Drosophila melanogaster: one gene and its partner. The protein of the gene in region 1 interacts with the protein of each later gene in a pairwise test. Each region holds a gene or a part of one and is shown in the gene's direction. Other genes may lie near its edges.

Evidence for each region. The genes of interacting proteins can lie anywhere in the genome.
Region 2: the proteins of Xrp1 (region 1) and Irbp18 interact in a two-hybrid assay, tested with the Drosophila melanogaster proteins (2 studies listed by BioGRID, with this or other methods).

What each region holds. Positions count from the first base shown.
Region 1 is NT_033777.3:18,911,505-18,918,772, forward strand, and holds the start of Xrp1 (Xrp1), read left to right. Parts: upstream 1-3,463; 5' UTR 3,464-4,421; intron 4,422-6,755; exon of another isoform or gene 6,756-7,121; intron 7,122-7,268. Other genes in the region: Sgsh (N-sulfoglucosamine sulfohydrolase), read right to left, coding at 1-1,330.
Region 2 is NT_037436.4:11,095,767-11,101,550, reverse strand, and holds Irbp18 (inverted repeat binding protein 18 kDa), read left to right. Parts: upstream 1-3,364; 5' UTR 3,365-3,409; coding exon of another isoform or gene 3,410-3,440; coding exon 3,441-3,551; intron 3,552-3,678; coding exon 3,679-3,909; 3' UTR 3,910-4,105; downstream 4,106-5,784. Other genes in the region: Elo68beta (elongase 68beta), read left to right, coding at 1-48, 116-278, 335-506, 568-869; APP-BP1 (beta-Amyloid precursor protein binding protein 1), read right to left, coding at 992-1,104, 1,164-1,412, 1,475-1,808, 1,875-2,520, 2,577-2,741, 2,799-2,866; CG33947 (uncharacterized protein), read right to left, coding at 3,410-3,459, 4,490-4,538; CG46439 (uncharacterized protein), read left to right, coding at 5,502-5,784.

The sequences.
Region 1 (7,268 bases):
GATCCGTCTTAATGTCGTACAGCTCCCATTCGGGTCGCTGGTAGTACTGCAACAAGGAACGATACCATGGCAGAGTTTGCTTCCTGAGAGTGGCATTCAATATCTGCTGGAATGTGGGTGAAGTGTAAAAGTCCTGGTCGATGGGGAAGTCTGCCCAGTAGTTGATATTATGGATAAGCTTGTAGCGCCTATTGCGCACCATTCTCATGGGATAGGCCATGGTCACCTCGTGGTAACTGTGACTACCGAACACCGAATCGCTCTCCTTGATCGGAGGTTCCTCCCGCAGTACTGGGAGTATCGATCTGCCAACGATTTTGGTGTCATTCGGTCGGGGAATCTGAAGAGCATCCATTACACTGGGGTATATATCCAAAAGACTGACCATGGCAGCAGTGGCTTCATGATGACGATCCTCCTTATTGGGAGAGCTAATGATCAGGGGCGATCGTATGCCGTGCTCGTAGAGATTGGTTCTGCCTCCGGGAAACGGTGGTCCATTGTCGGAGGTGTAGATCACGAGTGTCTGATCTGCCACGCCGGCTGCTTCTAGCTCCTTCAGCATTAGACCAACTCCCTGATCCAACCTCGAGATGGTCATGTACTGAGCAGCCAGCTCCTGACGCACTACATCCGTGTCGGGCAGCCAGGCGGGCACGTCCAGGTTACGCCAATCGTAGTAGATGGGCTTCCAGTCGGGTATGCTGCCCATTCCCTCCTCTCCGCTGCCCCAACGCTCACAGAATTCTCCAAACTGCGGGGTGATGTGGCCACAACGATGGGGATCATGGAAGCCGACCATCAGGAAGAAGGGTTTCTTTTCGTCCTTGGCCTGCTTGAGAAACTGCCTGGCATACTCCTTCATCCGGGTGATGTTTCTGCCAATCTGGTTGATGGAATGCTGCTCCTCTGTTTGCTCGAAATCGAAACGGAAATTGTTGGCGGCCCCAACATGTTTCTTGCCAATGATGCCGCTCAAGATCCGTCCGCCACTTTGATCACGGATTAAATTGGGCAGCGATCCGGTATCCGGAAGAACATTGAAGTTGTGCACGCCCTGATGGAGTCCATACATTCCGCTGGAGTGACCAGCCTGGCCGGTGAGCAACTGCGAGCGACTGGGACTGCAACTGCTTACCGAGGTGAAGGCGTTGTTGAAAAGCAATCCGCGTTTTGCCAGTGCGTCCAGATTGGGAGTTTGGCAGAATTTGTTCAGATAGGCGCCCGATTCGAAGCCGGCATCGTCAGCCAGAAGCAGCAGGACATTCTGCGGGCCAGCGGAGCAACCAGCAATTAGCCATAGTGTAAAAATCCACTGCAGAAATTGCATGTTGACATAAATCCAGTTCCAAATCCAAATTAAATATATTTGAGAGCGCAGAACAAAGCGATTCTTCAGTCGACGTCAGCGTACTGAAGTACGGCTCAAGAGAGCCGCATACTTTTAAGTGTCCACAAAGCCTCTCATTTCTCCGTTCTCCGTTTAAGACGCATTCAATTCCATTCCCAGTTCCAGTTTTAATCTCATCAACACAACAAATGCTCAGCGGGAGCGCGCCTAGGTACATTCACTTTGCCCGACTTTCTTTGGGAGCGGTTTGACTACAGTCAACACACCATACAGAGAACTAAAGTGTGAGGGTACTGTACAGTCATACGATTAAAGAATCATCATAAATATCAGTGAGATATATCTGAACAGTATAAAAAACAGCACTTCCACAAAAAAAATGTTTCATTTGAAATTTAAAATGCTTTAAAAACACTTTACATTTATAAACCATTAAAACACAGCCAATGAGCTGTTATAAAACATATGTACATTTAACTAGTATATATTCAACTGTATTGTATTGTAACATTTTGTGTACTTTGGTAAATTATAACCCGCCATATAATAATAAGCAGTATTCTTTTGTGACAGACATGGAAATAGATTTAAATCACCAAGAGTTTGGTTTGCATGACTCTGGCCATTAGGTGATCAACACGTTGTACTTTCTGATTTTATCTTGCGCCATGGAGAAGATAAAAGCAGGAACAGTGTCGCCAAATGGAACCACGTCAGGGTGTCAAGGCCAATCGCAAAGTGCAATGCGATTGTATGTTTTGAAAAATTATAAATCTACAAAACAAATGTTCGTTCTGCTTGTTTAGGCTTTTCTGTGTCGAAATGCGCAGTTTCTTCCAGCGACTAAAGAGTTTTCACATTGGGTGAGCTCATCTTATGTAAGTGGACAACCCCCAAAATGAATCATCGGCCGGCTAATTTAAGCCAGCCAGCCAGCTACAGTTTAAGCCACCCCCTTTTTGCCCTGCACCGGTGTGAAAATTTCGCCCAACATGTTTAACAACACTATGAGTTTTCCAAAAGTTGTGGCAACATGTTGCCAAGAGATTTTCGCAGTCTCTGGCAACAAGCCAACAATACGAATCAGCTGGGCCAGACTAAAACAGCTGTTGCAACGTGTGGCAAGTGTTGCATCAGCCAATCTCAACCAGCGAGAGAGAGTTTCACTCACGTGGAGAGAAAGAGTGCGAATCTGTATTGTTTGTTGTTGCTGCATGGCAGGCTGCCAAACCAGTTGCCCTATACCTTTTGGAGCGGACATAGGTGACATATGTAACCATAAATACTTACATTTACATTAAAAATCCTGTGAATGATCATATGAATATAAATGAATATTTAGGCGCGAAAAAATACGCAAAGTATTGAACTATACTTAAGTTTCGCGGCTTTTTATTAAATACCAGTTTATTAACCCTTTGTGAGCAAACATAGTTGCTATTACTTACAACCTTAATATCTACGTTTCTAAATTATCTGGGTGCAGAGTAAAATTTATTCTTTTTTTTTAGCTTCTCTTATCTATTGTAGCCAATTTAGACCGAAATGCTATCTGTGCAATTTTCAGACTGTCGCTAGCCAAATAATATGAACGGCTATGAATAATCTGTCTGCGTTTTGCACAGTTTATTGAAAATATATATATTTTTTGTTATATTAACTTAACTGTGTTGTATGTAATACTTTGCCTCAAGTTAATAGCACATGGAAATTTTTTTTTTTCAGAACTTAAATCAGTTGATGCTAATGCATTGTTTACACCTTTTTCAGCTGCTTTCAACCAGCTAAGGGTTTTAGAGTAGAGTAGTATCTAAGAAGTAGAGGCACCCACTTATCCGAGTGGCCCATCCTCCGCATCACAAAAATAATGAGAGAAAAAGATCCCCGCGTGGAAATGTTTTGGGGGCACGGCCATAGAAAATAGACACAGCAGCTGAGAGAGCGCGTGTGTGTGAATATATGTGAATATATATTGGTGGTGGGGAAAGGGTATATGGACGGAGCGGTGAATGAAACCGGCAACGACGTCAGCAAAATTATATCAACCCCGGCCAGCGGCTGCCGTCCAGTGCTCGCAGTTGAGTCAGTTAGTAACAATACTTCGTCGCGAACAGAACAACAATTCAGTGAGTCAAGGCAAACGACAGAGCTTTCGGTGTGCAAATCAGCGTGGAATTTGTGAAATTTTCGATACGTGTTTTAGAATCCCATCTTAATGGCATCAAACGCTGAACCTCGTTACAAAGATATCCTATTCATAGAACAGTAATTTCTTTTCGTGTAAAACGTACCAGATAAACTCAACTTTGAGTGCAAAGTTCAGAGTGATTAACAGCCTGAAAAACATTTGCGAGAGACGCAATAAATTGGCGAAAATTAAACAAACAATTTCTATATATACTTCGTATCTCGGTATCTCAGATAACAGTTGTATCTAGATGCTATATAGATAAGCGCTTGTGAACACGAACACTTGACGAGTACATTAAGCATACGCCCGATCTACACAAGTGGTATCACTGAAGCAACAGCTGACCGTACCAAAAAAAAAAAAGAAAAAAAAAGAGAAAAACACTTCAAAGGCATTTTGCCCCAATATTATGTTCGTTCTGCCTGCGGTTGGTGCAACACTAACAGCAACAGCAGTGTCGAGAAAAAGCGGGAAATCCAACATCGCGTCGCCTAAGAACGTCATGCAACATTCGCCTGTCGTTGTCTTCATGTGTGTGCAACATTCGCAGCAGCAGGTTCCCATGCTCAACAACTTTATGTGTATGCGTATGCGCGGCTGGCATAACAATAAGTTTTATTGCAACAATTCAATCAATATCGAGACCTCCACGATCGGCACCGGCACTGGTGGCACTACGGGCACTAAGATCCTACGACGCTCCAAGTTGCTACGAAAGAAGCGTGACTTTAACCGCCGTCGCTTTAGTCGCCGCACTTTCTTTTGAAACCGATTCGAATAAGTCAAATAGTCACCGGAGATAAGGAGCAACAAGGATCAAGATCATATTAGTGCCGTCATCATTGGAACCTGCTCAACGTGGCAGCAACATGATGGAGGGTAAGCAACTACTGGCCACATTTCTCATTTTCCCAAAGCCAGCAACATTTGTTGCCACAACTTTGTTGCTGGCGGTGTCATTGACACTGGGTACACTTCACGTCGAGTATACATAGATAGATGAGGCCACCTACCTATAGGCCTATAGTAATCGTGAACTTTTGTAGGGCGTTGTTTTGATAGGTGTTTTGATTACATGTGAAAACGTGACGCTTAAAATAATAAATTTATATGGGGTTTCTAAACCGGATTCTGTCTTATATCTTATTCTATATTATTAGTTAAGTAACTAGTCTTAAATTTTGTATCTTTAGGATGATTACTAAATAATTAATAATGGTGACCTGTTGAGTTACAGACATTCATGCATATATGGTAGGGAAGATACAAAAATCTTTGGCTTTACTAATTTAAAACTTTAGAGACTGAGCACACCGAAACAGCTTAAAAAAACACATTTTTGGATATGCCAGACAACTGCTTGTTGCAAAAAATCACTTTAAACTTAGTCATACACTTTTAGCTACCACCACACTATATTGTATGTACATATGTAGATCACGTTTCAGATAAAAGTGATAAGATAAGATAATCAAATCGAACAAGGAAGGGGCTTTGTAGATCAATTGCTATTCATCTACACATGCAAAACGCCCTACCTTTCCATTCCCATTTCGTGGAATCGAAAAATGCGCACTCATCGTGAAAAGATTGAACGAATCGCTACGTGTTGGCCATTTATTTTGTTAATTTGCCAACTGAGGGCGTCCATTGTTGATGGTCGTCTTCGATATTCCAAGAGCTCGTGCCAGTCGGTGCGCTGCGCAAGATTGTCGTTTGAAAGTCACATATTTTTGCACGCATATGTGGACTGGCATTTAAGCTCCTCAGCTTTGGGGGCTAAAATCAGAGGACGTGGGCAAATAATCAAAATGACCCCCCCCCCCCTTGGTTATATTGTATTTGTGTCTGCAGATCAGGCCCATTACAAATATCACATGATGACAGTTTTTGCCAACCGCTGAAGCTCATTTTGCGCTTTATATTTATCAGCATGACTCATGGATTTCTAAATTATCAGTTAAAGCTGTTATACATACATGCATACGTACGTACGCAGAGCTTTTCGATTTCGAGAATTCAACAGCTTTTATCTGAGCACACATTCAAAGAGAGCTTACTAATACCACGACAAGAAAGCTCTTCTCTTCAAATGTGGGCGAATGAGCTGTACGAAAGAGAAAGAACGTGAAGAAATTTCCCAAGTTCACATCTCAACGATTTTTGGATTGTCGTGGGGTTCACAGTCTATTATTTTTAAAGGCCAAACAATCTAGAAAATGAATGCATTTGCTCTGAAATTTAAAAGACTTCCAACTAAATCACTCCCTTGGGCTAATGCATACATACATACATACATACAGATGCGTACATATATTATTATTTAGTATAACCATGCATTCTCATGCCTCGTTCTTTTGTGTTTTTAATTTTGTTTAAAGTTCTTGACCCAAAGAATATAAGATCCCAAAACAAAATGATCTTGAAAAGTTATTTTTTCAATGAAAAAACTTCTGCAATATTTTATTAATGCTAAGGGTATGCATGCAAAGTATTAGAATTACCTCAAGTTATTATAATTTCTTATGAACTATAAGTCTAAGATAGCTTAAGTACTTTGTGCAAAAAATTTCTTGACAGTGTCAAATCTGTGCAAACTTGGAAACTTAGTTGTTTTTCTCGTTCATTGTTAATAGTTTTGTTATTATTTTTTTACATATTGATGAAAAAACCTATGAATAAATAGATATTAATAAAAAAAATTCATTAATTTTAAAAAGAGGTCTTTATATATTTTTGCATTGAAAGTCAAAAATACAATTTATTTTCATTGTGCAAAATGTATGTATCTAATTATTTAATAGAAATGATATTGTGATAGGTCGGTCCACCCAAGCAAACGATTATGACTCATGCCTATAATATATCTCACTCATGAATACTTAGTCTCACTAAAATGTACTTTGCAATGTTTGGTTCGGTAAAGTACATACTTACATACAAATATGAAAAACACCGGCCGGCTGTGACAAAGAGCCTCCAACTTGTAGCTCATATGAAAATAGTATATGCCGGGGAAATTTTATAAAAGCAGGCCATCTGGCGGCAACAGGGAATTTTAGCGCTCTCTTGCTTGCTCACAGCGAACGCTTATCTGAAATACACCGACACACACCGATAGGGAAAAGTATCTGGCTATGGCAAACTGGTTTGTGGGAGCTTTTTGAATTTCACAACGAATGAAATTCACAGTGCACAGCAAATCCAACAGTTTCATTTCTGTTCGCCACTAGCAGCCGTTCAAAACGTAGTGAATACTCCAAGCAGTCGGTTGACTCAGAGATCGCACAGTGAAGTTAGTTCTATAAAATACATATAGAATACATATAACCAAGGAAACCCAGTGTAAAGACTTGGCAATCGTTGTTGTTCATCGCGGAACAATAACAGTGGACATTTGTCGCTATCCCAGAAAGTAATCCTTTATATCCGAGCAACGGCCGGACTTGAAGCAATACACAAGTGGTGGTGCCAGGAACCACCCAACCTATTGCGTAGCAGAAAAGACAAGTGAATTCGCGGTCGGGTTTTCCAAAAAAACCAGACCACCAATCTTGAAGACACATTTACCGAATTGATGTAAGTAGTAGTGTAAAGCAATCAGCATTCCATATGCTAAGTAATATAGATATACGTATAGTAGTAGTGTAGTACATAGAGGGCGCTTTTGTTGTTTTTAACTCGCGAGTCGCCATATTGAATTACTTAAGTGCACTGCTGACGTCA
Region 2 (5,784 bases), on another chromosome or scaffold:
TGCCCTCTATTTACTTATGGTGCGCTATGCGCCCAAATGGACAGCCAGGTGAGATCGAGTCCAAGCATTTGCACATCCATTACAAACCACCAGCGCTGGCCACTCGGTATTTCAGATGCAAGCCGCTGCAGTTGAGAGTGCCCTTGTTTTGTCACAGCTTGGCAATGATATTTCTCAATGGTTATATTTGCCTGGAGTTCCTGACGGCTTCACTAAGTCTTGGCTACAACTTCGCATGTCAGGAGTGTCGGGTGAGCCATGATCCACATGAAATCCGGGTGAGTTGGCGAAGCAACTGGGAATTGAGAAGTTAAGAATTCGAAATCTGATGCAGATAGCGGCAGCTATGTGGTGGTTTTACATCTCAAAGATACTGGAATTCGTAGACACGGCATTCTTCATCTTGCGCCACAAATGGAACCAGCTGAGCTTCCTACATGTGTACCACCATAGCACCATGTTCTTGTTTTGCTGGACTTATGTCAAATGGCTGCCGACGGGTTCAAGTGAGTTTATATACCTTAAAAATATTATATTTCTAGTAGTAATATCTCGTATTCCATGCAGCCTTTTTTCCAAGCATGATAAACTCTTTTGTGCACGTGATTATGTACAGCTATTATGCATTGAGTGTGCTGGGTCCTCGAGTCCAGAGGTTCCTCTGGTGGAAGCGCTACTTAACTGGCCTCCAGCTGGTCCAGTTTACCATTATCTTCTTTTGGGCATCACAATTAGTTTTCCGGGGCTGTGAGTACGGAAAATGGTTAACGCCAATCGGAGCTGCCTATATGGTGCCATTTCTCTTTATGTTCGGTAGGTTCTATGCTCAAAAATACTGTGTTTCGGCAGTTGTAAAGAAAGCCAAGTAAATATAGCAATCGAATTTGTTAGTAGTATTATAGAAGGGGTTTCAATTGGTTGACTAATTTAATTAGTTATTTGGGGACACAGAATAAAAAGAACGTACAATTTCTATGAAAATACAATTTGTTTATAGCTTCAATGTGACACTTTCTGTGGTTATAGCATTGTATATAAAAGTATTATCGATTGGCTTGTATTGCTTCGTAATGATCTTGATCACCTCCTGGGCAGCGCAGCCACCTGAAAGGAATTAGCAGAATATAGTATCGGTCAACGCATAAACCAAATGGAATATTTACCAATAAAAGCAGACACTGCATGCAACTCAGCTCCGCCATATCGACAAATCTCGTGCAGAACATCATCGCTGATGGTGGCGTGCATTCCCAAATCGCTAAGCATCTTGGCGGCAATGCTCTTCAGACGTCCAATGTCCTGCTCAACGATGCACTCGCCGGGAATGTTGCCACACTCGCTGAGGAAGCGCTCGTAGGCGCGCAGCGCAAAGTTGTATGCCGTGAGGTTGCCCTGCAGCTCGTTGTCCTCAACTGGAAGGCAAGGAAAGGTAAGTCATTTAAGGTTGTTCCAAAATAGATAGATAGATCTTTACCCAGTGGTAGCAGGCGACTGCTCTTCTCGTACTCCTCTGCAATGCGTGTACCCCTTATGACCGCCAGTCCGGCTGCTTCTTTGCAAATGAGACGCACACTTCTCTCATCAATGCTGTCGGCAGGCAAAGCCAACTGCTTAAGGTACTCCTGGCACTTGTGATACACCTGGTCGGCGTCTTGCAGCGCCTGTTGGCGGTAGATGTGCTGCAGGGCGATATAGGAGTCCGTATTGGCAGTCATGTCCGGCAGAACGCCAGGCAGAGGGAGATGGCCCTCATTCTCATGTATCACAAAGTGCTTTAGGGCCTTGGCCATGATCCAAAAGACGTTGCTCTGTAAAAAAAAAAGAAAAACAAATGAAAGTAAAGTATACGTATAAATTCAGATTATATGGGCAACCTTCTTGTTTAACTGTTCGCAGGCATCATCTTCGAATATGGCTTTCAGGCTTTTGGGAACCTGTCCCGCTCCAAAGGCTGTATTGACCGCCTTGATGGCCTCTTCATAGTTTTCCTCATCCGCCTTCATCTCCTCTCTAATGGTCTCCTTCAACTGATTCTTCTCTTTGTAATTTCGAGGCGTTTGAGTCCCATCCGCTTGTTGTTTTTGCCACACATTAAGGTATTTGTGAAGAACCAGCAACCAGGGCACCTTACTGGTCACCTCGGTGCCGTCGAGATGCTCCCGCAAAGCATCGAATGGATGCTCCAGACGCAGATCAAACTGTCGATTATCCGGATGCGCCTCCACGATGCAGTGTTCCCGTATTTGCAAGCGTATTGTGCCCAGCATGCCAAGCGATCGGCAGTAGATTAATGGAACGTTAAGCTCCCATAACCGTTCGGCCAGGAGAAGCAAAGTCTGCTCATTGAGATTGGAGGCAATCACTAAATCGAAGCTGTCGAAGAAGTTCGGTCTGTTGGCTAATAAAAAGTCGGCACTCTCGTCGACATAATCGCCATTTACGTCGGGATTGAGTTCCTGGAGAAGTTGCATGCAAGCCAATGCTTTAGATTTGCCCAGATAGCTGGAATCGAGGAAGAAACTACGGAAAAAGTGACTTTATAATGGTGGTCAGGGAATGTGTGATGGTCTACCGACTTGTTGCCCAGATCCTCCTCCTTGACGGTGCTGCCATCGGCCACAGTGAAGCCTCCGATACCGGGTAGCACCAGTCCCTTGGCAGTTTCACAGCCGACGGCCGTAACATTCACCAAACATACTGTGGCTGCCTCCAATAGCGTCTGTCCATGCTCTCCCCACAGCCTAAATAGGTGTCATCAGTGCTATGCTTCCGAATTTATCAATTAAAACGCTCCTCACCTGATTTGTCTGTCGTATTTCTTGCTTTTATCCGAAAGCTCTGGCGATTTGGGGGCTGGCGAGGACATTTCACTAGATTTTTGTGCAATAATAAGCCGGTTGCAAATAATCCAGTACTGTAAAGCGCCGGCAGCCAATACTTCTGACACAATTTGTTTATTGGGTGGAGTGTTGGAAAAAACACGTTGGTAATTTTAACTGTTGCTTATTTAAAACATTTATTGACTATTACGTATTACATTTCATTTAATTTTATTGCATTAAACTACATCTACGTACAAGCAATCAGTCTTTACAAATAAAATGTATAAACAGTTGAGAAATTAAAAAGTGAAAGTCTGAGCAAACCAAATAAAGTGTCTGGTTGACAGTTTTTGAATAGCATTCCATGGCTATGGTTTTGGGTGAGTTTTAATATTGATTTTCAACATGCAATTAATTTAATTAAATAATACCGCTAACTGTTTGTTGGCTGGGCAGTGTAGGCAGCGCATTTTGCAACACTGGGAGGGCTAATGAACAGCTGTTTTATCGTGTAATTTCACAACAAAACAACGCATACATCGCTGTGTTTTCTTCTGCATTTCCGTCCGATTGCGATCCAATTTGAACTAAATAAATATCAGTATTATCACGGAGATAATGCCGGCCAAAAAGAGAACTGCCGCGTCGACCAGCAAAAATAGCGATTCGCCATTAAGTCCGCACACAGACGATCCAGCGTACAAAGAAAAAAGAAAGAAAAACAATGAGGTAAGTTTAAGAGTTTTGGATGTAAACAGAGAGCAAAGATTGGGAAACATGTTGCTGTGGCGCCGTGGCCCCCAGAAGTCCCCAAAAATAGATGCCCACTATTGATTTATTACTATTCTCGGAACAGGCTGTTCAGCGCACACGCGAAAAGACCAAGAAATCGGCCGAGGAACGTAAGAAACGCATCGATGATTTGAGGAAGCAAAACGATGCTCTTAAGGTTCAGATCGAGACGAGTGAAAAACATATATCTACGCTTAGAGATCTGATCATTCAGGGTGAGAAAACGGAGGACGGCCATCGAATCATCCAGGAGATTCTCGCTGAACCAGATCCCGATCCCAAGGACAATGACTAACGAGGAGCTTCTCCTGATTTACCTTCTTATATTTTCATACTTTTAAGCCATTTCCCATGGTTGTTAACCATGTGTATCATCTTAGTTTTTCGATTAAAATGGTGCAATTGCTCGAATTCTATTACAAAGACAAGCACTCATGCAGACGAGAACAGTGTTTGTTAAAATCCTACATAAATGGTTTTCATTATTGGTGAGTTTTTATCATTTCTCACCAAATACTTGTTTTTGTTGTACTTTTCTTTTACTTTTGTTTATATTGTAACACTTAATCACTGTATCCATGTTGCACTGAATCTAAATTTTAAAATTATCTATATTTAGTAATAGTGATTTCTATTATTTTCGACATGATTCATACAGCTAAAATCATGCGAGTCTTGAATCAAATAAAGTGTCTATTATGATTTTACCCATATCAGTGTTATTTTATACCCAATACTTCAGCTGTTTACAACTACTACTACTATTATTATTTCCTTGAAAGTTGATGAACTCATTAATCAGAAATACAACCCAGATTCCATCATATACATATGTTCTACGTTTAAGTAGAACTTCCGGCAAATTAGATACTAACCGTCGTAAACGTCCAATTTCTCCATGTGTAGGCTAAAGACCTCGTCCATTTTCCGAGATATGAACATATGAACTAAAACTATAGCTATTGAGAAAGTGTCGTTGTGCCGATAGGTTTTTGGTTTCGGGTGTCCCGTTAGGTCTTGCTCTCTTTGCTTTTGTTGTGGGCGCTCCTTCCGTCTTCTTCTTTCAAACACTCACAAAAACATTGATTTACTGCACTTTTCGCACATTCATTTGATGCACAACTCGACGGCGATTTGATTTGGCGGGTGGTTGGTTTCGTGTCGAAATGGAAGTTGGATTGTGGGGCTTTTTTCGCGTTCAATAAATTGCCGTCTTCCGCTAATTAGCACCACCCGCACACTGATTCCGATTCAATATCAATTTGAAGTTGCTCACATGGCACGAGGCGAAATAAACTGAAATGTGTTTTCAGTTTTTACAGCGTTGCTTTGTTGTATTTGGCTGGTCGGCAGCTGAACGTGTATTTCCTTATTTTTTATTTATAATTTCACGTAACTTTATTTTGGTTGTTTTGGCCGCTCTCGCTCGCTCTTTTACTGCACGGCCTTGCTCTCGCTTTTTTCTCTCGCGCAGTGTTGCAAAGTTTTCAGCGAGGAACAGCTGATTCAGTATTTCGTTAAAAACCGTTAAAAAGCGTGGTTGTTTTGAAATTGTTGAAATTCTTGAAAATTTTTTTTTATCTTGTTTATGTTCTTATATTAAAATCCTGGTCAGACTTATATTTTAAATATTAAGTTAATCATATTGTCTATGAAATTTGCAAAAATTGGTATATAATTCCAAGCATTTGAAAAAACTTCACAGTGACACTTACATTCACCCCAAAAAAAGTAAAAAAAAAATAGTCAGGATTACAAAAGTTATATTTCCAGATAATGGTACAAAATTTTTTCGATTTATAATGCTGTTGCCATTAAAGAACCCAAAGACCGTTGAAAGCGAGGTGAACCCGAATGTGACGCTACTGAAGCGCCAGATCGCCGAGGATGGAACCAAAACACAGGCACTGTTACTTCAAGCGTTCCGCTTCGAGTTGCCTAGTGACGCCAATGCATCTCCACTCCTCCAGGATCAGTTCCAGCCACAGTCAGTCAGCAGGAGGCATTAAGCCCGCTTTGGCATCACTAGATCCACCTAAAACACCCAATAGCATCGAGAAAACAAAGAAATCCGGGGGATTTCTCTCTTTTTTGTTTGGCAAACGAGACAGGCGGGCGAGGAATCAGAGTGAGACAAATGGAAACCATATCTCATTGGAGGATCATGATG